7 linked regions of the Neurospora crassa OR74A genome follow. Each later gene encodes a partner of the first gene's protein in a complex. Links are inferred from orthologs where the notes say so. Each region holds a gene or a part of one and is shown in the gene's direction. Other genes may lie near its edges.

Region 1 (2,750 bases):
TTCTGAGGAGGCTGTTGCCATTTACACTACTACGGTGCACTGGCTTGAATCGAGAAAATTCTCTCCCATCCCCTTCCCCAGTGTGTCTTACAAGCATGACACCAAGATCCTTATCTTGGCGCTGGAGCGCCTACGTGAGGCTTACTCGACCAAGGGAAGATTGAACCAGAGTCAGCGTGAGGAGTTGGCCTTGATTGAGCAGGCATATGACAGTCCAGGCACTACCCTCGAGCGTATCAAACGCTTCCTACTCACTCAAAGAGCTTTCAAGGAAGTCGGCATCGATATGAACGACAACTACAGCACCATCAACCCGGTCTATGATATTGAACCGATCGAGAAGATTAGCGATGCTTATCTCGACCAGTACTTGTGGTATCAAGCTGACCAGCGCCATCTGTTCCCCGCTTGGATTAAGCCTTCCGATTCGGAGGTGCCACCTTTGCTTGTGTACAAGTGGGCTCAAGGCATTAACAACCTCGACAGGGTTTGGGAGACCGCGAATGGCGAGTGCAATGTCATGATCGAGACGCAGCTCTCCAAGGTCTACGAGAAGATTGAGCTGACCTTGCTCAACTCGCTTCTTCGGTTGATAATGGACCACAACCTTGCGGACTACATCACGGCCAAGAATAACGTTACCCTAACTTACAAGGACATGAACCATGTCAACAGCTATGGTATGATTCGTGGCCTGCAGTTCTCAGCCTTCGTTTTCCAGTACTATGGTCTCATTCTCGATTTGCTGTTGCTTGGCCCGCAGCGTGCCAGCGAGATTGCCGGTCCTCCCCACGCACCCAATGACTTCCTTCAGTTCAAGGACCGGGAGACTGAAACAAGACACCCGATTAGGTTGTACACCAGGTACATCGACAAGATCTGGGTGTTCTTGAGGTTCACCGCGGATGAATCTCGCGACCTGATCCAGCGATTCTTGACAGAGCAGCCTGATCCCAACTTCGAGAACGTGATTGGTTACAAGAGCAAGAAGTGCTGGCCCAGAGATTCGCGTATGCGTCTCATGAGGCACGACGTCAACCTCGGCAGAGCTGTGTTCTGGGATCTCAAGAACCGCCTCCCAAGATCCGTGACGACGATTGAATGGGAAGACACCTTCGCCAGCGTGTACAGCAGGGATAACCCGAACCTCCTGTTCTCCATGTGCGGCTTCGAAGTGCGCATCTTGCCCAAGATCCGCAACCAGAACGATGAGTTCCCTGTGAAAGACAGTGTCTGGTCACTAGTGGACAACACGACCAAGGAACGCACCGCTCACGCTTTCCTACAAGTTACCGAAGAGGACATTCAGAAATTCAATAACAGGATCCGTCAGATTCTCATGTCGTCTGGCTCGACCACATTCACCAAGATTGCTAACAAGTGGAACACGGCGCTGATTGCCCTCTTTACTTACTACCGCGAGGCTGCTGTTTCGACCGTGAACCTGCTTGACACGATTGTCAAGTGTGAAACCAAAATCCAGACTCGTGTCAAAATTGGTCTCAACTCCAAGATGCCTTCCCGTTTCCCTCCTGCCGTTTTCTACACTCCCAAGGAGCTTGGTGGCTTGGGTATGATTTCCGGATCACACATCCTTATCCCTACTAGCGACAAGCGCTGGTCTAAACAGACAGATCTCGGAGTTACTCATTACCGTGCGGGCATGTCGCACGATGAGGAAACGCTGATCCCCAACATCTTCCGCTACATCATCCCGTGGGAAGCTGAGTTTATCGACTCCCAGCGTGTGTGGACGGAATACTCGCAGAAGCGTCTCGAGGCCAACCAGCAGAACCGCAGATTGACCCTAGAGGATCTGGAGGACAGCTGGGATCGCGGTCTGCCCCGTATAAACACTCTTTTTCAAAAGGACCGTAGCACGTTAAGCTTCGACAAGGGTTTCCGTGCCCGTTCCGAGTTCAAGATCTATCAGTTGATGAAGAGCAATCCCTTCTGGTGGACAAGCCAGAGGCATGACGGTAAACTTTGGAACCTTAACGCATACCGTACCGATGTCATCCAGGCGCTTGGTGGTGTCGAAACCATCTTGGAGCATACCTTGTTCAAGGCAACTGGTTTCCCGTCTTGGGAAGGTCTCTTCTGGGAGAAGGCCAGTGGTTTCGAGGAGTCGATGAAGTTCAAGAAGTTGACAAATGCCCAGAGGAGCGGTAAGTTCAACATACCATTTCTCTAGCATGAATTCATCATCATATGCACGCACAAATACTGACTTTGAAATACGCAGGTCTCAACCAGATTCCTAATCGTCGTTTCACGCTTTGGTGGTCGCCTACCATCAACAGAGCCAATGTCTACGTCGGTTTCCAAGTGCAGTTGGATCTAACTGGTATCTTCTTGCACGGCAAGATTCCTACTCTCAAGATCTCCCTGATCCAGATCTTCCGAGCTCATCTGTGGCAGAAGATCCACGAGTCAGTGGTCATGGATCTTTGCCAGGTCTTCGATCAGGAGCTTGAGGCTCTAAGCATCGAATCGGTTCAAAAGGAAACCATTCATCCCAGAAAATCTTACAAGATGAACAGCTCCTGCGCGGATATCCAGCTCTTTGCCAGCCACAAATGGAACGTTACTCGCCCATCGCTCCTTTTCGATACCAAGGATGTCATCGAGTCTACTACGACGAACAAGTTTTGGATTGATGTTCAGCTTCGCTATGGTGACTACGACTCTCACGATATTGAGAGATACGTCAGGGCCAAGTATCTGGACTACACCACCGACAGCATGAG
Region 2 (3,559 bases), on another chromosome or scaffold:
CTAGCCAACGCCCACCCGCGCGCCGTCCTCACCGACCTGATCGACCGCTACCTGGACCCGCGCGAATCCGCCCTGGCGACCGTCGACGCCCGCCTCCGCTTCGGCGAGGCCCTACTCCAAGTCGTCGACCGACTGGGCCAGACCTTCACCGGCGACCTAGCCAAGATGACATGCGAAGCCCTGATCAGCCTGGCATCGCGCCGGGGGCATCGGCCCAAGACCATGGCGCGCCAAGCGCGCGAGGCTAAGGCGCGGGAACAGAAGCATAAAGAAGCCGAAGACGCGTGGGACGGCAGCGTGCCGGATATGGCGGATCCGATTTCTGCTGAGGAGCAGGCTAGGCTTGATATCTTGGAGGCGATTGTAGAAGGGTGGTCGTCTGGTACTTCCAAAACGGGTGAAGAGGATGTAAGGATCCGTGCCTCTGCGTTGTCAATTCTGGCGAATTGCATCGAGACGAATATTGTTGGTGTCGCGGCGGTGTTGACGATGGCGAGCGTGGATCTGTGCATTAATGTTGTGCAGGTAGAGCGGCAGCTGGAGAAGGGGATACTCAGGAGGGCGGCGGTGAGGCTGATTATGAGCTTTATCAAGGCCATGGACGAGGCGAAGCACGAGGGGAGGGTGTTGGGGATTGCGTTTGGGAGTGAGACGCAGGAGCAGCTGAGGACGATTTTGGGGTATGTGGAGCAGACGGACGAGGATGGGTTGGTCAGGGAGTATTGTCGGGATGTGCTGGAGAGCTTGGAGAATTGGAAGACGAATAGCTTGGTGGATGAAGTGTCGTTGAGCCAGGCAAGAGGAGGAGGGTTCGGTGGTGGTGGGTTAACGAAGCTGGCTGGGTTGGTTGTCGACCCGGAGAGGTCGGTTTCCCATGGTGGTGATGATAGTGGTGGAAGTAGTGGCGGTGTTGAGATGTTCGGCGGTAGACCTAGGATTGAGGAGATTGAGTAAAATATCTTCACCCAGTATGGGACTTTATTAATTCAAAATGACTTCCTGTCAGGTCCTGAACAGTCCCCTTCCATTTCGTTTCAAAACATCGGCGTCTTCGAGGGTCTTGACCTGAAGGTGTAAGTGGGCATCGGAAATAATCAGGGAGAGATGTCACCAGGTAAACTTGAGTGAAGAAGTGAAAGAATACACTAAGCTATGTACCTGAGTAATGATAAGCAAAAGGATCGCCATAAAGGTCTTGGTGATGCTCATCATCGTCGCTGTCAACAACATCAAGTATCCTCTAGCCACCAACCCTAACCCTGTAATCTACTAATCAGACAGGCTTATTGCCACGTCCAATCAGCTATCGCGTTAGGGCTCCACATGTCCCTCGTAACAGAGGAACTTCCATCGTCGCGCTACTCCAACGCCGCAAAGGTCCAGCATTGGAGGCACAGTCCCAGTTGGAGCTTCTTCCATCATAGCATCAACGCCAATCCCATCTCTCTTCCCAACTTTTCATAACCATAACCTCGACCTTGTTGCGTCCACCCGACCACAACCCACTCTTACACATCTAAGAAAACCGACAAATACAAAATTCCATTAGCACCAAGCCGAATCGCGAATCCAACTTTCGAGCCGTCCCATCGACGACAACAACAACAACAACAACAGCAAGCCTGTGAATACACACACAAGGCGCCACGCACTTGACCAAGAACCAACCCTTCGAACCGAAACCGACAACATGTCTTTTGTCCCAGTTAACCCCCGTCCCTTCCTTCAAGATCTCGTCAACAGCTTTGTGACGATCCGCTTGAAGTGGGGAGAGACGGAGTATGTTGGCCGTCTTGTTGTACGTATATATATACATATCCAGCATCTTTCTTCCAATCTAGCCTTCCCTTTGCCGCTGGACTTTGGTCTTGGCATACACAGCTGTGGGAAGCGATGGGGAGGGGAGGGGAGGGGGAAACCAGCAGGCAGGACCAAGGAGCAACGAAGGAAGAACAAAGAGAGAGAGGCTGACGAAATGCGTGTGTGCATGTGAACAACAGAGCATCGATAGCTACATGAACATTCAGCTCAGCGACACAAAGGAGTACATCAACCGCAAGTTTACGGGCGCCTTGGGGCAGGTTCTGATCAGGTACGTCCATACTGAATACATCCCACTGCTACGGCTTTCCATACGGACGACCCAATCCCCCATCTCGTATCAACTAGCCGGGATGCTGACATTATGGACTTCAACAATAGGTGTAACAACGTTCTCTACATCAAGAAGGCCGACGAGGCGGAAACAAGTGGCGACGTCAAGATGGAAGAGTGAAAGTTCTCTCGCCACCAGGAGGAGGAAATGAAAGGGTAGCCTAGACTAGCGGGCAGGGTGGTGAAGGGCGCGATTTGCAGAACAGACAGGAGGAATGTGTGAGGAGGGAGGGTCGTGATGTTCCGACTATAATACCCTGGGAGGAAAAAAGAAGAAGAAGAAGAGATGGATCTACTCTACCGACCAAACCAAACCGAGCCGAACCGAAGCACAAACCACAACGCACCCGCTCGCCGAAAACTCGTTTCCCAATGATGAAAGTGTGCGCTTCACGAAAGGTGCGACAACAGCTTTGATGATATCGGGCGCGCATGGTGTGGAGAGTGGTACGGAAGGGCGGATTTGCTTCAAGAGAGAGTGAACGGTGGATGGATGGATGGATGGGTACCGAGCGTCTCTCTGTCTGGTAGAGACCTTCGTTGCATCTCCTGCGCAAGACCGTCAAAGGAGCATGTGCCATCTGGCCTTTCCTTGAAGATAAAGGCTAAAATAAGATGTTGGAACAATACTCAGCTTAACAGGAAAGAAAGAAACAAAAATCTGTCAAGACCACACATCATCTAGGTACTGAGCAAAGAAAAGGAAGTGGCGGGTTGAGTTAGACATGCGGACATGGCGTCTGGTTTCCAGGTATTATTTCAACTGAAAGAAAAAGAGAACGAGCGGCGTGAATTTCTGTTAGTCTCAACTTCCACTTGCCTATACATCACACGACTACAGGCAAAGACAGTCACCATCATCATACACATCGCGCGCCTTCCCAATTATGAACATTCTATCCACCATTTGACTTCGAATCTTTTATTCTTTCGCTAAAACAAGACTTTTGACCTTTTCCTCGCAGCGTTTGTTACAGCTGCATACTTACACACTCCTAACACCCGACCTAGCCAGCCTTGCCCACCACCTACTGGTACCTAGTTACCTCCGTTTTTACATTTCCTCTCTTCTAACCAAAAATGCAGGCAACCTTACGACTGCTATGCATCTCAGAAGCGCCAACCTTGATACGGGTCTTGGGACCCACCCAAGCATACACTTCAACCATCCACTCGTACCACACCCTGGTGTCGTCGGTCTGGCGCCACATGCTGACTTCTAGCTCGGTGTCCTGAGGGAAGTAGAGGGGTTGCTATGTATCGTCGAAGAAACAGGGTCAGTAATCGTCACCAAAGCAGGAGCGAGGAGCGAAAAGTCAAGAAAAACAAGAAATGAAGGAAGAAGAGATAAAAACTCACCCTAAGAGGGAAGAAAATCGGGAACCAGGAAATCATGTCCTTGCTC
Region 3 (3,755 bases), on another chromosome or scaffold:
TGAGACTCAACGTGATGCGTTTTCGGTCGTCGTTGTCGGAGTGGTCACTATCGTCGAGTGCGATGAAATCGTGTTCCTTGGCAAGGCGCGCGCGCCGCTCTTTGCGCTCGCGGATCTCGGCTTCGGTGAGGACATGGGCTGCTGGGGCATCGCCAGTGAGCGCTAGGGGCATGTCGCGGGATTGAACAATCATGGCGCCGTCAAGCTCAGAGGGGTCGAGGTCCATGGCGTCGCCCGTTGTCCCGGGCGCGGCAGATGCCTCCGGCAACGGTGCGCTGTGGGTTTTGAGGCTGTCGTCGTCATCGTCGTCGATGATGCTTAGCGAGGCGAGATTCTGTGGTGTGGCTGGCGTGGAGCTTTGGAGTTCTTCAAGGTATTCTTTGCTGTACCGAGGCTTCTCTTCGTCGGCGCCAAATGTGCCGAATCGTGCGGTCAGGGCGGACTTGCGAAGCGCGTTCTTCTCGGCAACTCGTTGGCTCAGCGACTTTTTGCTTGGGGCGCTGACCACGTCGCTGCTGGCAGTTGTTGTCGTATCATTGCCGCCATCTTCCGTGTCGCCCTCGCTGGCTCCGAATGATAGTTTTGAGATGCGCTTCTTCTTGCTGGAGACTGAGCGGCCGAAACCGGGCCGTACTACGAGCGGCACACCAGTGTCCTCCTCGGCTTCTGTTACCTCGGGTGCCGTACTTGTGCTGGTTGACGTAGGTTGGATTGCGTCGCCGCTGGTTTCTTGTGGATTATCGTTACCGTCGTTGATCTTGATCGTTCTTCGTAGTGACGAAGATTTAGTAGGCTTGCTGCGCCCAAACTTGGTCGGTCCTTGCGGTACTGGTTCTGTTCGAAGGCGTATCAGCTTGCTTGTTCTTTGGTTTGGTATCAGCACTGAGATTTTCTATGCTGGAAAGGGATGGGCATGGCCATATAGCAACTTACGTTCGTTCTTCGGCTCCTCTCCTCCAAGCACCGTAGGAAGGTCGCCATCCTCATCGTCAAAGGTCTGGATAATGCGTGGCTTGCGCTTTCCAAAAGAGCTCATTTTTGTGATGATCGACTTGAGTAAAGTGTAGAATGGAAGTAGGTTGTCTGACAGGGAGTTTGTAATACAGTGATGTAGTATTGAGGCGGGCGTGTTGTTTACAGGTAAGTTTGTAGTGCAAAAAGGTGTCCAGACAGCTAGGAAGCTTCGAAATGCACCCTGGAGAATGACGCTGGTGGGCGACTGGATGTCACCACTGCACTGAACACTGCAATCACCCAAAGACGGGCAACGCGAATTGCGGTTTCTTATCTTATCAGTGTCCCCACGTGATGGCCTGGCGGCCGAAAATCACTGGGGATGGTCGCGATTGCACGCGCTGCACAAGGCCCGCCTTCCAGGTTGTTTCAGTGGAGAGTTCCCAGCCAGAACGACGCCATTGCCATTCATTGCAGCAACTCTCTCGAGACCATCCCAGACAACCAACACAACCTCAAGATACAATGGCGCCCGCACAACCTGAACTGAAGAAGGTAAGAACTTACTCTTGGAGAATTGCCTTTCACGCTGAATGGCAGCTGGCTGGTCGAGACTATGCCATTGTCGCATCTCGAACTCCATGTTATTGTTTGTTTAGTATGGTGTAGTGAGCTAACCGACCACTTTCCAACCAGTACCTCGACAAGAGGCTCTTCGTCCAACTCAACGGCAGCCGCAAGGTCATTGGTGTTCTCCGTGGCTACGATGTACGAGATCTCCCCTTTACGAATTCGAACATGATGATTGACGGTTCGCGACGTCATAGGTCTTCTTGAACATTGTTTTGGACGATGCTGTTGAGGAGAAGGATGGTGGTGAGAAGGTCAAGCTTGGCATGGTGGTATGTTTATCATTGTAGAAAGGTGCTGACGTGTCTCCTGCTGACGAATGTGCACACAGACCATTCGTGGTAACTCCGTTGTGATGATGGAGGCTCTCGAGAGAATCGGCGGCGATGAGAGGGGAGGACAGCGCGGCTAATCAACAATCATCTTCTCGCAACACGATAAAACGACCCTGCGCATCTACAAACGCCTACATCAAAAGGCGAGGCATCGGAATAAGCGGATGGCAATTGACGGGATTTGACTATATACCAAGGCGATTTACACTTTACGACGACATCTACAGTGTTCCACGCGGTCTTGGACGGTGAAAAGCTAGGTGGGTTGGCTGGTACGGCGTTCAGTTTCACACGAGGCATGTATTCGGGAAAGCTGCATTATCTTCAACTTAGAAAGGGAAACATCTGCGGCGGTGGTCGAAGAAAAGATACCCAAAGGATTTTTTTGTTTTTCATCACGTACAGCTCTTCTCCGACAACAGCTGCTTCCACGTCTTCTCGTCATAACCGTCCACCATGCGGTCGCCGTACATCCGCACCCAGCCTCGAATCCCGCCCGTCATGACCTGCGACTGAAGATCGCCGCCTACTTCGTTGATATAGTCTTGCATCCAGGCGGCACATCGAGGGCCCCGACCAGCGGAGGAGCCTGGGGGAAGAAGCATCGGTGTTAGAGAGGGTCGGCGGTAGAGGTACGAGTTCAAAAGAGCATAGGATTGATTGGACTCTGTCCCAAGAGTCAATGACAGAGAAAGTCAAACACGTACCACAATAGAAGACCACCTTTTGGATCCCGGCCTGTTTGCACAAAGCGTACAAGCTCTTGCGCGTGGGGAAGAAGCTGTGGGCGGGCAGGTTGATTGATGAGCTGACAGTTCCCCCGGCGCAGTCTGTCCGGCGACAATCGACAAGCAGCAATCTGCGCGATTGGGGCATGTCATCGACATGTTCTTGCTGCTCAAGAAGCTCGAGGACAGTCTGGGGCTCGATATGGACCGGCGTCGAAGTTGGCTCTGGAAATGCTGCCCACCACGGTGTACCATCCTCGCGCCTAGCCATGCGCAAGCAGTGTTCGTGAACGTGTATCGTCATGTTGAGGCCGTTGCTGAGTTGGTTTCTCATTGACTGATTTCTTAGGTTAAGCGGAAGAAATGTACCGTTGATGCATTGTCCGGTATATGAAGGGCAGTCAGGGGTAAACTCTTTGTTTGCCACACTGGATTGGGGCGGCTCTGAGATCTAGTCACATCTTTCAGCAAGCCACGCCGCCAATACTCATCTCGCGGGACATGTCCTCGGCAGTCACGTCCTATCATAAATCACTTGTCTCGTACGATCGGATCCTCTGATGCCGTAGATGGGATACCGCATCCGGAGGTAGTCCTTCCTATCCTATTACTCCATGGAGTTTTTCAGGAGATCGCGGCTAAGGGGGGACGACAAGATGATTTCTTCACCAGCTCATCAACGCGACATACTGCCTGGTCTCGTCGCTTCTATGCAATTTAGTAACCATGAGCATGTTATTTTTCTTATTACCCATATTCATGCCCCTCGCCATTTACCCGTAGATAACTGATAGCTCCGACATCTTGGTTTACTCGGCCCGGCATATAGGGGGATATCACATAACGAATTGTTGAGGTGTGTAAGTTGCAGCACCAGGACACCTGCGACAAAGCGCACCAATCAATATACATGTCGTTGTATGGAAGATTGATAAAAGGTTAAACCACGGCGTTTATAAGGTATACAGTAGCAAGACGCTCCCTCCAACAGCCCAGCGACACCTGAGAGCTATTCTGATTTATACGTCACGGCGTAACTTCCACCAAAGAATGCCCACATCTCCCAAATCAGTCTGTGCTCGCTTCGTTGTTCCATTCATTCATCATA
Region 4 (3,118 bases), on another chromosome or scaffold:
TGACGTTGGCCATATCGGAGCGTTCCCATTCGAGGAGACGGGGCGCGATCTTGCGGATCATGGAGCCATTGAGGGCGTTGTACTTGGCTGGGCGGTTGAGCTCGACGGAGCGGAGATTATATAGACTGTTGAAGAGGACATCCTCGGGCTCGTCACCCTCGACGGGCTTGAACAACTCGGCGGCGGCTTGGGTCGAGATCTGGGAGGAGGGGGCGGCGAGCGTGTTAGCTGTGTCCGTGTCCATGGCTTTTGTCTTCCCAAGGAGCGTCTTACTGGGGCCTGCTGGCCCAGGACTTTGGCTCTGAGCGGCATCGCGGTGAAGCTTGGTCGGCAGCTGCGAGAAGCAACAGCAGAAGCCAAGCCGGCGCGGCTGGCAATGGACTTGGAGACCAACATCGATGTACACTTCGGTAATTGGCTGGCTGGCTGGCTTTGTCTAGAATAGGAATGGAATAACAAGACCCAGGGTCAATATGGAAGAAAAATACTAAGTCCAAAATCCACCCCGAGGCTGTTTAGCACCGTTGTTGCATCATAGACCGGCCAAGGGACTCGGGCACTTTTTTTCGGGACTCGTTTTCCTGGGCTGGGAAAGGGAAAACGGGAGAACAATCACCAATGATCTGAATGCCGCGTGGATGCAGGAACCGTGATAAGTGATAGCGAGAGTATCTGCAAATCCACTTTTTGCTGGAATTCAACGCGAAATGGAGCTCCAGCTTCAATTGATTTTCAAGGGCACCGCGCCTGGCAATCCCCGGGGCGGGGTTAGGTACGGGGGAGCTAATACATAGTGTAGAGGTAGCTGTGGAACCTGCCGAATCCCCGCCGCTATCGCTAGAAGCTGGAATATCCTCCGGCCGATGATACCTCTATCCATTCAAACTTGTCATTTTCCAGAAGCGACGCTCGGGCCCTCCGCTCACTGGAAACCCGATGTCCCGGCTGTCCGGGGGAGCATGTCGGGTTCGGCGGGGCTGGCAGCACCTGTCACCGGAGCGGTCCTCAGCCTTTCGCATTGGGATCCACCGTGAGCTTGTCATCCAATCGCCAAACTTTGAAGACGGTTCTGTTCCCAGAAAAGCTTGGCGCGTGTGCTGTAGCTGCTCCACGCTCCGAGTCGCCGCCGCGCCTGGCCCTCCGCTGCTGCAACATTTCCCGTCGTGGATTGAAGATAGCGATAGCATCCATTACAGCAACTATTGTCCAGGCTTCTACCGTACACCACCAACCCATACCACGCGAAGCAACCACTCGACGTCAACAACCATTTTTGATACAAAGACAAAACTACAACTCATTTGCCCCTCCTACATTTCAGTACCACTCCAATTCAACTCTAGACCAAAACACCATCGTCATGGCTTCAGCGGATGCAAAGATTCAGTCAGTAGCTATCCCACTCTCCAGCATCAACCCATGTGCGCGGGCAGCCCATGGACGCTTCAAGGAAACCAACTTGACTAACAACTGTCTACTATACAGGGAGCTTCTCACGAAGCCGCGCAATGAGCTTACGTACGTTATATCCTCTTGTCAACATCACCTCCCTCTGTTACCATCGTCATCTCGCCCGCCCTGCTGCTCCCAGCTCCTCCTCTTTGCGACCCAAGACCACGACGCCCGCCCAGCCAAATCACAAAGCTAACCAACTCGTCTGATACAGTGAATACGAAGTTTCTCTCCTCGAAGAGCACGAGTTCTCCGCCGGTCCTCTGGTACATATGCCCCATAAGCCTTGATCTACCACCCCTTCGACACGGAGCAGCGACTAATATGACACCCTTTTTGGCAGTCCATCCTCCAGACCGCCGTCCGCAGCCACTCCCAAGTCCTCATTTCCGTCCGCAATGGGCGCAAGATCCTTGCGCGCGTCAAGGCTTTCGATCGCCACATGAACATGGTGCTGGAGAACGTCAAGGAGATGTGGACCGAGACGCCCCGACTGGCCAATGGCAAGAAGGGCAAGCCCGTAAACAAGGACAGGTTTATCAGCAAGATGTTTGTGCACTTCCTTTTCATCTGTTGTTTCTCTCGCCCAGGAGAAGCGAAGATCAATGGCTGACATGTTTCACTTTCCTGGCAGGTTCCTGAGAGGCGACTCCGTCATCCTTGTCCTCCTCAGCTAGTTCACGAATAGCACGGCAAAATGTATAGGTTGGAGGTTTATTTCACTTGCACGGCGAAGACACGCGCCAGCACAACTTAGGGTTAATGGCTCGAATGGAGTGGGGATGAGCCCGGGAAGGGTACCTATTGTTGGTCGACTGAATCGAGAGACATGCGGACTATATCACCTTACTACTACTCAACCGCTCGATCGACCATGATGACGACACAACCACGAAAGCAATTCAAAACGCCCCGTGAAAAGGCGCCGCGCAGGAACGAGAGGAAAGAAGAGAAACCCAAGCAGATTTTCAGGGGCTATTAGGAAGGTCATACAAAGGGAAAACTAGTGTGAGCTCGGCGTTCAAACGTGTATTTGGTTTTGTTTAACTTTTTATCTTTCATTTCTGGTAACTTGATCGAACAGAATACCCAGACCGTGTTTAGGTTTTCGCAGACGCGGTCATGTTTTCTCGTGCTTTTTAACGACAAGCAACGGGATGATTTGTATTGGTGTTCCTGGTACGTCATTGAAATGGTGGTGCAAACTAACTACCTAGGGGTATATCGAGATCACATACAGCACCAATTCTTACGGCAATTCCGCCTCTCTTGTAACCTCCTCCCATCCATCATCCGATCCCTTGGCCTGCTTAGCACTGGAATCATCAGCCTTTTCAATTCCAGCCAGTCCAAGGAAGAACTTGGCCAATCCCCAAGCGCCCGGATCCGGCACCTGCTCGAATCCGGACCCGCCAATGTAGACGGTGCGGCCCAACTTGGCCTTCATACCCTTGGTGCCCTCAGCTCCCTGCTTGGCAGCCTCGGCCGCCTTCTTCACATCACCGGTCTTTTCGAGCGCATCGACAAAGGGATAGAGGGCATCAACCAGGGTGCGGTCACCGGGACGAGCGGGCGTGTACTTGGACAGGGCCTCACAGCTCAGTTTGAGGGCTGCGGCCCAGGCATTTTCATCAGCAGCTTTCTTGTCCGACTCCCCTCCACCGAC
Region 5 (2,721 bases), on another chromosome or scaffold:
ATCGTGAATGTCAGCGGTGCGCGACATACAAGCGTAGCGGTATCGTCGTGATCCAATGGGTATCTGTAAGTACCTTGCCCTTCAGTGTCGTTGCTGCGAAGAGTTGCGCCTCGGCTTCGGGAGAGCCCTGCAAGATCGATATTGTGGTAGTCCAGGCCTCGTTCTACGGTCGATTGAGAAATGCGGGTTAGTCACATGCGAACCATAGGTGTGTTGGCGTCGAAGGAGCTGAAAGCCCAACTGACCGACTTCTGAAACTTTTGCAGGTAGTCCATGGCGGCCTTCTTGGAACCGGAGTCACCACTCCGCATCGTCAGCATGGCCTGCAGGACATTTGGGGTGGTGAAGCCGTCTGTGGCGCCGTTGGAAGCCATGTTGGGCAGCTTCGGATTGTGTATGATGTGATTTAGCTCGAATACAAGTGTTGTGATGGCAAGTGTTGCGATGCGGTGTTGCAAGTGGAAGCTATCGCTGGGGTATCGCAGGTCGCAAAGTGGATGGATCAGCCCCTCCTATTCGACAGGAGTGTTGTCCGACTTATCGGTCTTGCGACGCGATGGAAGCTTTCAGGATATGTTGTTGTAAAGGCGAGGAGCTGCGATGCGCACGGGGTATATGAAGCTCCAGAGAGGTTGCAAGAATAAAGGACTGGGAGGTATTGTACGGTGCCGCCGTGGTGACAGGATTGCTGCAAGTTGGAGGTTGCCGGCGACGATTTGCTCTTGAGCGTCCAAAGAAACGACGATTGAAAAACATCCCGCCAACAATCGAAGAACGTCAGGCTGCCTGACACCGACCGACCGCGAGTGGAGTAAACGGCGGCGGGCAAGCGGGTCAAAGAAAGTGGAAGCACATCCTGCACCGCCATAAGTGGGACAAGCGGGAGGGGCTCATGCTACCCCAAACTGAAGATTCTGTGGCTTGAGAACCCAAGCAGCTCGGAAAAAGTGAATTGAGCTGAATGCCAAGAGGTTATGACACGACGCTGTGGGCCCAGCAGCATGTAACTAAGTGCACAGACCAGCTGAGCAGCTCCCGTCCCGTCCCCGGCGGGAGGTGCTTGTGAAAACAAGAGCTCCACACGCCAGAGACAGACAGGCAGGCAATTCGACATTCGGGGGAAATTCATTGAAGTCACGTCCCGGCCGTAGAGAGAACGCGTCTGGGAACAACTGCAAGCCAAGCCCAGCCGACCAACAACGACCATCCACAACTTGATTGCGACTTACTTGTTCAGCCTCCACATCACCATCAAACTTCTGTCCTAAACACCGGCCAAACGACCAAACCACAACAAACTTTTATTCTCAACATGACCGGCAGAGGTGGTGGCGGCAACCGCCGTGTTCTTCTTCCTCCCATCAACTTCCTCTTCCGTCTTTTGCAACAACACTCGACCGTCCAAATCTGGCTGTACGAGCAGCTTCACATTCGCATCATCGGCACCATTCGTGTAGGATTCTCCATCGTGACCTCCCCGAAGAGCAAACATAGGTGCTGACAATTCCGTCTTACAGGGCTTCGACGAGTTCATGAACCTGGTGGTGAGTAGCGGCGCATGTCCCACTAGCACTACGAGACCTAACCCCATTTCCACAGATCGACAATGCGATTGAGGTCAAGCTGGTCTCCAAGACAAACGAGACGGAGGAGAGGAGGGAGCTTGGGGTAAGAATATGTTTAGGGCTGGACGTCGATGTTGTTGTGGCAGTGGAAAGGGTGGCTAACTGGGTCGCAGCAAATCCTCCTGAAGGGCGACAATGTCTCGCTCATCCAGAGCTACTCCGGGTGAAGAGCTCCAAACCTGAAGGAGAAGCGGTAATCGACGATGCAATTTACGCTGGGACCTACATCGAGCGACGAGCCAGCAGATCTAAAGCTGTACATAGACGGCCCACAAAGATGTGGTGCGTGGCCTTCTACACAACAAACGACACCGAATCTACGAAAGAGATACCAGGGAAAAGCGATTGGCCGAGGCGCACAGGAATGTCGACTATATGTATTTGATCAAAGGAAGGCAGTACGGGATGGATATCAGGTCATGGAACTATTTGGGTGCAGGAGGGCTCTTAATCTCGCCATTTCCGAGTATCAGGCCGTCCAGAGGTTGATCGTGGCGACCAACAGGTACCGACCCCTCGGATGGAGAGGATAGAAACTGCTCAGACAGCGCTAAGCCATAAAGCAATACAGGGGTTTCCTGCTTCCCCAGCTCGACAGACTTTTGGTTGTGCCGGTTGATGAAGTAGTCGTAGAAGCCTTTGCCGTGTCCGAGCCGTCTGATGGCCCCAGCTTCCGGGTCAATGTCGAAGGCCACGCCGGGCATGAGGATCAAGTCAAGCAGGGTTTGGTCGGAGTGGTGGGCGTCGGGACCTCCAAACACCCTCTGCCGCTCATGGACCGTGGCCGGGTCGATGCTGGGAATGCCCCATCTGTCTGGCTTGAGGGACTCATAGTCGTGAAGATCTCTGAGGCGGACCATGTCCATGACGCGGGCTGGGAGGTTGGGCGAGGCCAGAGGGTTCTTGTGAAGATACGGGATGAAAACCTCCTTGCCGGACTCTAGAGCGTGCCTGACGATGCCATCGGTCTGGATCTCGCCCGTGGGCATGGACAGGAACACGCTGACCCGTTTGGCGTCTACGTAGGGCTTGAAGTTCCTCAGAGTGTTGAAGACCACAGAACCTGCAATTGCGGATTTAGTCTGCGCTGGCAGTA
Region 6 (3,755 bases), on another chromosome or scaffold:
CCACTCGGAACTGAGATGTCATGTAGCGTCCAGCGCTAGAAGTTGGCAGACACCTCCTGGAGAGTGGTGAGACGTCCAATCAGGGCAAAGACGAGGACATGATGGTGGGAGGTGGGATGCAACCGGAGCTGCCGTCGAGCTTGTCAAAGCTTGCTAGTACCGCACCATCACCACACGATCCAGCTCACACAGCGAGATAACAAAGAAGGTGGAGAGAAAAGACCGAGAACTCGGAGCAACCAAGACGGAGGAGCAGACGCACACAGATCATGGTCTCTCGATGCACATGCATGCAGCCTATAACAGCCAGTGCTATGGAAGATCAGTCCACGCCAAACCCACCTGCCGCAGCTCGAGGTTGAGACGGTTAGTTGCCTCGCCCATTCAGCGGTGCCGGGGCGGTTCGTGGGGTTTGATCATAGGGTTTGGGCATCAAGCTGACAACACAGCAATTGGCCGGCGGCCCACTTGGCCAGCCCGTCACTGCGTTTTGAAAATGGGACAAGGCCAGATGGCCCCTTACTCGCTGGACTACGTAGCCGTGCAAGCCGTGGTCGTGGCCGACAGGGAGCGAGGATGGAGGCATGTATGTAGTAGCATGATGCAGAAGGACCCGGGTACGGCATCTCTCGGGGCGCGAGGAAGTCTGGAGAACGTCGAGGGGCGTTTTCTGTCCTGTATCACGTCCCGTCCTTGGCTGATAGGCAATGGCTAGACGAGGCCGTCGAGAATGTGGGAGTTGCTCGTCAACGGTTGGCTGGTGGTATGGGGCAAAGCGGGAGGGGAGTGACTGTCCAATATTCGGGGACAAGGGTGAATTGAGAACCGAAGGACCTCACATAATTCAGCGTATAGAACATCGAAGAAGGCCTCATTGAGAAAAAGGTTGGGGATGCTGTGTTCAATGCGTTGGACAATCCCATCCCCGTGACGGCCGCCATCATGCGACGACTCGGAACATGAGCCAGGAAAGTTGAGCGATAACGGCGTTCGGGGTGCTGAACCAGACAGTTCATACTTTGATTGAGTACAAGCGTATGACAGCAGGCCGGTAAATTCCACTTACTGCCAATGGGTTGAAGAAAGAAGGTTTATGTCAGTGACGATGACGAGGTTTTGGATGACCGAAGACCACCAGTTCACTGAATGTGGGGACAGCGCAGAAGAGGCGTGTGGGGAAGCCTCCACACTTCCTTGTAGTGTAGGACCTCAATGCGCGGTACGTACCGTGAGATCTGGCAGCTGTCTTGCAGCTGACAAGATCAACTAAGCTCTCCGACGAAATTCCCAGCAGCACCGGGCTGACAGGGCTGCCGCGTTCACGTCAAAGGCAACTGATCGCATCCACTATCATCGCGAACCAAGTCGCCTGTACTTACGGCATACCATCTAGGTAATCTCTAAAACCAACACCAAGAAAGATCAGTTCGCCCCTCCACATCGCCAACCAACCTCACCACGTAATAACACAGCCGCCAACATGACTTCCACAATTGGTATCCCCATCAAGCTCCTCAATGAGGCTCAGGTAAGTAAACACCATTGCTATGCACAGACTGTAGTGCTGCCAAAAGCTAACCAACCACTCCTGTCCCACAGGGCCATATCGTCACTCTCGAGATCACCTCCGGCCAGACCTACCGTGGCAAGCTTATCGAAGGTACTGCTAACCCCCATGAACTCTTCATTCCCATTCACTCCTCTAAACTGGCCAGCCATGCTAACCAATGCGCTCCCCCGCAAAACAGCCGAGGACAACATGAACGTCCAACTCAAGGACATCACCGTCACAGCCCGCGACGGGCGCGTCAGCCATCTCGAACAAGTCTACATCCGCGGCAGTCATGTGCGATTCTTTATTGTGCCGGATATGTTGAGGTACGTTCAAACCAGGCCACCACCAACTCATCCGTTGCGATTCTTCTCCCCAGTTGCCCCCTACCTACCCAATAAGTCGGATAGGACCCAAGCTAATCATTTCCTCCTCCTCTTTTTTTTGTGTTCCCATACAGAAACGCCCCCATGTTCCGCTCCCGCAACGTCCGCGGCCGCGGTGTCGGTCTCGCCCGCGGTCGTGCGACAGTCAGTAGGGCGCGCGCCGGTGGTCGTGGCGGCGCCAGATAGAAGACAGCGAGCGCCGCCTGTCGTCAGACTCATCGACCAAGACCAGACCCAGACCGAGAATCATTGAAAATTTCACAACGGAATGCAATATTGGGGCACAATAATCGGCATATTATGGCTCCTTTTTTTTTTCCGCGCGCAACGACAACCGCTATTTTGATATTTTAGGCGTTTTGGGTGGGGGGAACCAATAAAGCAAACTTTGATCTTCTTTCTACCGAAAATGGGGGGCAGCGAGTTGGATGGAAAGAGAAAAGTGTGGGGGGCAAGCTTTGGATGCCCAGAGAAGGAGGAACAGGAGGGATAGGGAGGAGGGTGGCTCAAGGCCGGCCAGAGATGAGAAGGGACTGGAGTGAGTGCTGGGGCTGGGATTGGAGGGTTGAGAGCCTCGATGAGGAGTGATATGGAGGACGCCAGCTGGCCCCGCTCATCCATCTGCTGCCAAATGATGATCATGGGAGAAGCGTGGCGTATCCAGGGGTTTTCACGCTCCGCCAGCTGGACGATAATGGTCGGTCGATGCAACAGCCGCTACCCGTCCGTCAGCACGCAACGAAAACCTGGCTTCATCACGGTTAGCAGCCAGAGCGAACCAGGTGTTCAGCCAGCCTCAGGTCTCCCCCCAGTTGAGTCCTTGGCCAAGGAGCGAGCACATACAGCATGGATCGAATCGCACCGAAAGCGAAACTCCTACTAGCCCTGGTTCTGATATAGACAGGGTACGTATTCAACGTCTTTGTCTATTATGTTGTTGTACACACAACCCATTCCATCTTCAGCCTACGCTGACAGTTTTTGATATCTACCACAAAAGTCCGATGCCCCCTTTTTACTCCCACTTCGGCTTGCTTTTTTAATGGTACATAAGAGTGTAGCCCTGGTTGATCTGTTGCGTCCGCCGGTTCTAACCCGCCTGTCCCTATATGTGAGGCTCGCATAAGACGAGCTTGCAACAATGCTCTGAGTGAGAGTGAATCGTGTAGACTAAATATACAACTGGCTGTTTAAGGGTTGAGTTGGAGAGGGCATATTGTCAAAACACCCACCTAAGGGACTAACAGGCAGGGCGAGAGGGCTGTGGAAAATAATAAGCACAAGAAGTCCGAAACTGACCAAGTTCGGTTTGCAGAATGTCCTTCTAAACATCTGTTGCAACCCATCATTTCTACTTCAGCCTCGCAAGCGCTTCCTCGGCCCGCTTGAGGACACTCTTGGCCTCCTTCAGCTCCTCAATCTCAACCGCCACATCCTCGGGAACTTCAGGAGAAACGCTATCCAGCACCTCGGCAATGCTGGCTTCGGTTGCGCGAATAGCCTTGCGTCCTTCCTCACGAACCTCGCCCTCCCAGAAATCTCTCGCCCTCTCCCACCTTTTCTGCAAGCCCCTCAAACTCAAAACAATACCCAAGGCGGCGACGGCTCCACACTCATATATTCCGAATCCAGAGAGCCAGGACATGCCGCCGAGTGCCGTGGTGGCTCCCGCTAATGTTGATGACTGTAGCACGAGCTTCTGCGCCAGTGCTTGCAGGGCCGGAACAGTTTCCGCTAGTAGATAGTTTCTTGTGAAGGGGATATGCGCAGGCCAATTTCCCTTGGTCTCTGATTCCGTAGTAGCAGCAGTAGTAGCA
Region 7 (4,004 bases), on another chromosome or scaffold:
CATCTTGGTCGTAGTCGTTGATGGGCTAGCAGTAGGATGGTGTCGTGTCGGTATAATGGACTATAATCGGTGGACCAGATAGCTCTCGTTATAGCTTGACAGATACGATCCCTCAAAGCCTCTGTCGGCCTTCGTATTCAAGGCTCGCCTCTGCGTCGCTGAGCGTCTGCGCGGTGTTCGGTGGTCAAACTGGGTCCTTGATGGCTTGGAATCGCACGCATCTGGTACTTGAAGAAGGAAGTGGAATTGTCGTCGACGGTCTTCTCGATATGCATTGAGGGTGGAAAGGCTCGATGAGATGTGGTTTTTACTGTCAAGAAGGAGAGAGAGAAAGAGAAAAAAAACAGAAAAGAGAAAAAAGAAGAGAGTTGTGACTGGGGGAGCGTGCGAAGAGAGAGGTCGACAATGGCAACAATGAAATGGAGTTCCGTGGGCAGCAGAAGTTAAAATAAAATGGAGCCCGGACTCTGCACCTGCAGTGAATTAGGATGGGCCTGGACCGGGTTTGTGACCTTGGGTATTACCTATGCACAATTTAGTACCCCTAGGGACTGGAATGCACTAGCCGGGCAGGGGGCCGCGTCCGCCTCACCCAAATATCCCGCCATTGAGCCAACCACGATAAAGAGAAAAGCGTTCACATCATGCGTCACGGTCTGGGCAGGCCGGGCAGGCCGGGCAGGCGAGCAACTGAAAGGGCGGAAAGACCAGCTGGATTGGTCTGGTGAACTTAAAGGAAAAGGAGGAATTGGCGGGCGTTCCATGTCCCAGGAGGAATTGGCGAGAGCACGTGAAAATCGGGTGAGAGACATCAGACATACGTCTCACCCGCATTAAAGGGAATGCACCATCGGCCATTTTCCAGGCTTTTTCCACACTAGCTTTCAACCTGAAAAAAGCCCCATGTTGCTCTCCATGTCCAGAAATGAACCTCCAATACCACACGGCAGGTGTCATGTGTGTATAGGTAGTGTAGTGTACCAAGGCCGCTGGATGCCGACCCCGATCTTCAGTTTTGACAAGTCTGGGGAATCCGAACAGCCGGGGCTCGATTGGCGGTCATTAAACCGCATTGATCGACGGGCTGGGAAGGGGGAACTGGCCGCACCGTTTGTGATCGCGCTTCCATGTCACCTCGGACCAAACCTACCGTGTGCGAAGTGGGTATTAACGAATGTTGACACCAACAAGGAATCTATCACATATCACATGAAACTTTGAAATTTCAAGTACCTCTTTGAATGATCGGTGAAAGCTTCATGGCGATTCGTTGGTTCACCTTAAGACGAGGTGCCCGTGGTGCTAGGACCGAGATGAGCGCATTCAGGTGGGACAGCTTGTTGAGGGTTAGGGTCGAAGATGCGCCGGAAATTTTAGTGGAGCTCCCGCAACAGCAACGGCGCCAGCATTGTAAACTTCCCTGTGATTGCATCACCTGCTATTTCACGACAGCAAGCAAAACATCGAGCCCTCACATCAAACGGTCCTTTAGCAACCACAAGCCGGACTCGAATCACCTGGCTTTACTCGCGTTCAAGTGTCCAGAAGATTTAGCAAACGAACAAACACCGAAAGTTTAGCACTATGCATCCGGCGCGTAGAGCCTACGTGGAGGAGGCCGAGCCTGAGGTAAGACCATGCTCTATATGCGCCCCTCGCATCATTGAAGGCACCTGCTCAACATTGCAAACAGAGCCCGGACTGACCCCCCCTGAAGCAGGATCGCGGAGGCATGGATCTAGACTCCGTCCGTAAGTCCCCAAAACTCTTGTATGGCTTCCAACCCATGACTGATTTGCGTGTTAGCCCTCGATCGCGACTACGACATCCCCGGTGCTGGGGCTGGTATTGCCCCAGAGAAGGCCTCCGTTCTTCTATCGCAGTTTGAACGAAAACGATTAGCGGCTTCGATTGCTGTTCCTACCGACGATGGCCGGGTACGAGCCAAATTGCGAGAGATGGGCGAGCCTGTCACCCTCTTCGGCGAGGGTCCGGCAGACAGACGCGACAGATTACGAGAACTCATGACACAACAAGCCGAAAAGGGAGGTCAGGAAAGTGCCGATGTGGAGATGCGGGACGCCGAAAACGAGGAAGATGAAGCCGGCGACCAAGAGGAGGAATTTTACACTACTGGAAGCCCGGAACTGCTCCAGGCCCGCATCGACATCGCTCACTACTCAATCCCGAGAGCTAAGAAGCGCATCGAGTTCCAGAAGAAGGAGTCCACCATCCCACTGCGGACACATGTCAAACACCGAAAAGAGATCAAGGAGAAGCTTCAAGGGTTTGAATTGCAAGGCAGTCAAACGGCAGGAGAGCGGCACATCAGCATGACAAGGATCTCGCCTGATGGAAACATGGTCGCAACTGGCAATTGGGGCGGACAGGTCAAACTCATCGAAATCCCAACCCTTGAGCCAAGGAAGACTTTGAGGGGCCACACCAACAAAGTCAGCGGCCTATGCTGGATGCCTGGAGCTACACTGCCGGAGCGCAATGTTTCTCCCGACACAGTCAATCTCGCTTCCGGAGGAGCGGAAGGCCAGATTCATCTCTGGTCTTTGAACCAAGACACGCCTTTGAGAACTCTCTCAGGACACTCGCAACGAGTATGTCGTGTAGAGTTCCATCCATCGGGCAAGTATCTGGCTTCTGCCTCAGAAGACACGTCATGGAGGATGTGGGATGTTGAAACCGGCACCGAGCTCCTTCTCCAGGAAGGTCACTCTCGCGGTGTATACGCTGTCAGTTATAACAGTGACGGATCGCTACTCGCTAGCGCGGGTTTGGACAGTATCGGAAGAATCTGGGATCTGCGGACAGGACGGACTGCCATGATTCTAGATGGGCATCAGGACGGCCATATCAAGCCTATTTATGGTTTGGACTGGGGCTCGGACGGTTACAGGGTGCTCACGGCGTCTGCTGATGGTTGGATCAAATGCTGGGACGTTAGAAAAGTGGAAAGAATTGGAGGCATTGGTGCCCATACAAGTGCAGTGGCCGACGTGCGGTGGTTCAAGGGGTTGGATGACCCGTTGGAAGGAGTGCCTCCTGGCGAAGATGAAAAGGGAATGCAAATTCCCAAAAAATCCGGCACCTTTATGGTGTCGGCAGGCTTTGACCACAAGGTGAACATATTTTCCGCTGACGACTGGGCCTTGGTTCAGTCTCTCAGCGGCCACACAGGGCCTGTTGCGAGTGTTGACGTTAGCCGGGATGGAAAATGGATTGTAAGCGGTGGCCATGACCGGACGGTCAAACTTTGGGGAAGAAACGACTCCAGGAGCTTGTATGATTCCTGAGCAGACATCAATCATGTGCGCGACAAGAATCTTGTCGTTGCCTCTCGCATAGGAGCAACACACCAAGGAGGGCGTTCAGCAAGCGACAGGCCAGGGCTTGGCTTACCGCTCCACGAGAGACAGTATCGGCAGATAGATTGCATAGAAGCCGTCTCAATTTGTAGATCAACAACCACAACTGGGTGCCCATAACAAGCTGCCTTTGGTACATGCGTCTGAGTTGCCTTGTGGTTGCGTTTCACTGACCCGGTAAGGATAAGGGGTGTCACCTGACCGCGAAAGTGGGCCTGTTGAGATTCCTTCTCCCTTCTTTTCTGCAGTGACGCGGGCAGGGTTGGGCGGGACACCTGCCGCTCGCGTTGGTTGGCGTTGGTAAAGTCACCCTGGCACCCTGGGAAATGGTGACGCACGGTCCATCGTGCGAAGCTTGGCTTTCTGATAAAGGGCGATAAAACAATGGCAGCAGACGCCATCACCGGGAACTTGTAGCGTTGGTCCGTTTTCGAACCTTTGACTTCTTCGTTTCTCGCATTTCTGCATTTTCAAGTGGTTTTATCCCCAGCCGGTATTTATCGCGAGAGACGTCATTCACAATACCCTCAACTCACAGCATCCGGGCAGCTCAAGTCCCCATGCGCATCAACCCGCTCAAAGCTGTCTGAAGGGCGACACGGGGAGGATTCGCTTATTTGGGAA

Evidence for each region.
Region 2: NCU07832 (region 1) and NCU01614 share a complex: the UniProt entries of both Saccharomyces cerevisiae proteins name them as parts of the U4/U6-U5 tri-snRNP complex. The link is inferred for Neurospora crassa OR74A from reciprocal best matches to the Saccharomyces cerevisiae genes PRP8 and SMX3.
Region 3: NCU07832 (region 1) and NCU09880 share a complex: the UniProt entries of both Saccharomyces cerevisiae proteins name them as parts of the U4/U6-U5 tri-snRNP complex. The link is inferred for Neurospora crassa OR74A from reciprocal best matches to the Saccharomyces cerevisiae genes PRP8 and SMX2.
Region 4: NCU07832 (region 1) and NCU03778 share a complex: the UniProt entries of both Saccharomyces cerevisiae proteins name them as parts of the U4/U6-U5 tri-snRNP complex. The link is inferred for Neurospora crassa OR74A from reciprocal best matches to the Saccharomyces cerevisiae genes PRP8 and SMD2.
Region 5: NCU07832 (region 1) and NCU06354 share a complex: the UniProt entries of both Saccharomyces cerevisiae proteins name them as parts of the U4/U6-U5 tri-snRNP complex. The link is inferred for Neurospora crassa OR74A from reciprocal best matches to the Saccharomyces cerevisiae genes PRP8 and SME1.
Region 6: NCU07832 (region 1) and NCU03625 share a complex: the UniProt entries of both Saccharomyces cerevisiae proteins name them as parts of the U4/U6-U5 tri-snRNP complex. The link is inferred for Neurospora crassa OR74A from reciprocal best matches to the Saccharomyces cerevisiae genes PRP8 and SMD3.
Region 7: NCU07832 (region 1) and NCU11251 share a complex: the UniProt entries of both Saccharomyces cerevisiae proteins name them as parts of the U4/U6-U5 tri-snRNP complex. The link is inferred for Neurospora crassa OR74A from reciprocal best matches to the Saccharomyces cerevisiae genes PRP8 and PRP4.

What each region holds. Positions count from the first base shown.
Region 1 is NC_026503.1:1,010,087-1,012,836, forward strand, and holds part of NCU07832 (pre-mRNA processing splicing factor 8), read left to right. Parts: coding exon 1-2,168; intron 2,169-2,245; coding exon 2,246-2,750. UniProt on the Saccharomyces cerevisiae protein: Functions as a scaffold that mediates the ordered assembly of spliceosomal proteins and snRNAs. Required for association of BRR2 with the spliceosomal U5 snRNP, and the subsequent assembly of the U4/U6-U5 tri-snRNP complex.
Region 2 is NC_026502.1:2,951,593-2,955,151, forward strand, and holds NCU01614 (hypothetical protein), read left to right. Parts: upstream 1-1,379; 5' UTR 1,380-1,690; coding exon 1,691-1,798; intron 1,799-2,000; coding exon 2,001-2,092; intron 2,093-2,202; coding exon 2,203-2,275; 3' UTR 2,276-3,059; downstream 3,060-3,559. Other genes in the region: NCU01615 (hypothetical protein), read left to right, coding at 1-954; pp-2 (protein arginine N-methyltransferase HSL7), read right to left, coding at 3,225-3,407, 3,514-3,559. UniProt on the Saccharomyces cerevisiae protein: Plays a role in pre-mRNA splicing as a core component of the spliceosomal U1, U2, U4 and U5 small nuclear ribonucleoproteins (snRNPs), the building blocks of the spliceosome.
Region 3 is NC_026501.1:6,357,876-6,361,630, reverse strand, and holds NCU09880 (small nuclear ribonucleoprotein SmG), read left to right. Parts: upstream 1-1,365; 5' UTR 1,366-1,479; coding exon 1,480-1,509; intron 1,510-1,650; coding exon 1,651-1,722; intron 1,723-1,781; coding exon 1,782-1,856; intron 1,857-1,915; coding exon 1,916-1,996; 3' UTR 1,997-2,314; coding exon of another isoform or gene 2,315-2,508; 3' UTR 2,509-2,626; coding exon of another isoform or gene 2,627-2,951; 3' UTR 2,952-3,255; downstream 3,256-3,755. Other genes in the region: NCU09879 (hypothetical protein), read right to left, coding at 1-834, 934-1,036; NCU10125 (hypothetical protein), read right to left, coding at 2,315-2,508, 2,627-2,951; NCU09881 (hypothetical protein), read right to left, coding at 3,744-3,755. UniProt on the Saccharomyces cerevisiae protein: Plays a role in pre-mRNA splicing as a core component of the spliceosomal U1, U2, U4 and U5 small nuclear ribonucleoproteins (snRNPs), the building blocks of the spliceosome.
Region 4 is NC_026505.1:2,382,785-2,385,902, forward strand, and holds NCU03778 (small nuclear ribonucleoprotein Sm D2), read left to right. Parts: upstream 1-1,148; 5' UTR 1,149-1,360; coding exon 1,361-1,386; intron 1,387-1,485; coding exon 1,486-1,518; intron 1,519-1,666; coding exon 1,667-1,718; intron 1,719-1,795; coding exon 1,796-2,001; intron 2,002-2,086; coding exon 2,087-2,129; 3' UTR 2,130-2,618; downstream 2,619-3,118. Other genes in the region: NCU03777 (mitochondrial 3-hydroxyisobutyryl-CoA hydrolase), read right to left, coding at 1-199, 274-396; dak-1 (dihydroxyacetone kinase 1), read right to left, coding at 2,702-3,118. UniProt on the Saccharomyces cerevisiae protein: Plays a role in pre-mRNA splicing as a core component of the spliceosomal U1, U2, U4 and U5 small nuclear ribonucleoproteins (snRNPs), the building blocks of the spliceosome.
Region 5 is NC_026504.1:2,807,307-2,810,027, forward strand, and holds NCU06354 (small nuclear ribonucleoprotein E), read left to right. Parts: upstream 1-1,143; 5' UTR 1,144-1,312; coding exon 1,313-1,453; intron 1,454-1,517; coding exon 1,518-1,544; intron 1,545-1,599; coding exon 1,600-1,668; intron 1,669-1,738; coding exon 1,739-1,792; 3' UTR 1,793-2,050; downstream 2,051-2,721. Other genes in the region: NCU06355 (karyopherin), read right to left, coding at 74-163, 246-374; NCU06353 (hypothetical protein), read right to left, coding at 2,051-2,688. UniProt on the Saccharomyces cerevisiae protein: Involved in pre-mRNA splicing. Binds and is required for the stability of snRNA U1, U2, U4 and U5 which contain a highly conserved structural motif called the Sm binding site. Involved in cap modification.
Region 6 is NC_026505.1:1,887,150-1,890,904, reverse strand, and holds NCU03625 (small nuclear ribonucleoprotein Sm D3), read left to right. Parts: upstream 1-1,296; 5' UTR 1,297-1,480; coding exon 1,481-1,528; intron 1,529-1,599; coding exon 1,600-1,660; intron 1,661-1,748; coding exon 1,749-1,878; intron 1,879-2,012; coding exon 2,013-2,124; 3' UTR 2,125-3,255; downstream 3,256-3,755. Other genes in the region: NCU03624 (hypothetical protein), read right to left, coding at 3,290-3,755. UniProt on the Saccharomyces cerevisiae protein: Plays a role in pre-mRNA splicing as a core component of the spliceosomal U1, U2, U4 and U5 small nuclear ribonucleoproteins (snRNPs), the building blocks of the spliceosome. Also binds telomerase RNA and is required for its accumulation.
Region 7 is NC_026501.1:4,871,908-4,875,911, reverse strand, and holds NCU11251 (pre-mRNA splicing factor), read left to right. Parts: upstream 1-1,427; 5' UTR 1,428-1,584; coding exon 1,585-1,629; intron 1,630-1,693; exon of another isoform or gene 1,694-1,717; coding exon 1,718-1,751; intron 1,752-1,806; coding exon 1,807-3,308; 3' UTR 3,309-3,504; downstream 3,505-4,004. Other genes in the region: stk-11 (serine/threonine-protein kinase psk1, variant), read right to left, coding at 1-3. UniProt on the Saccharomyces cerevisiae protein: Involved in RNA splicing. Is required for the association of U4/U6 snRNP with U5 snRNP in an early step of spliceosome assembly.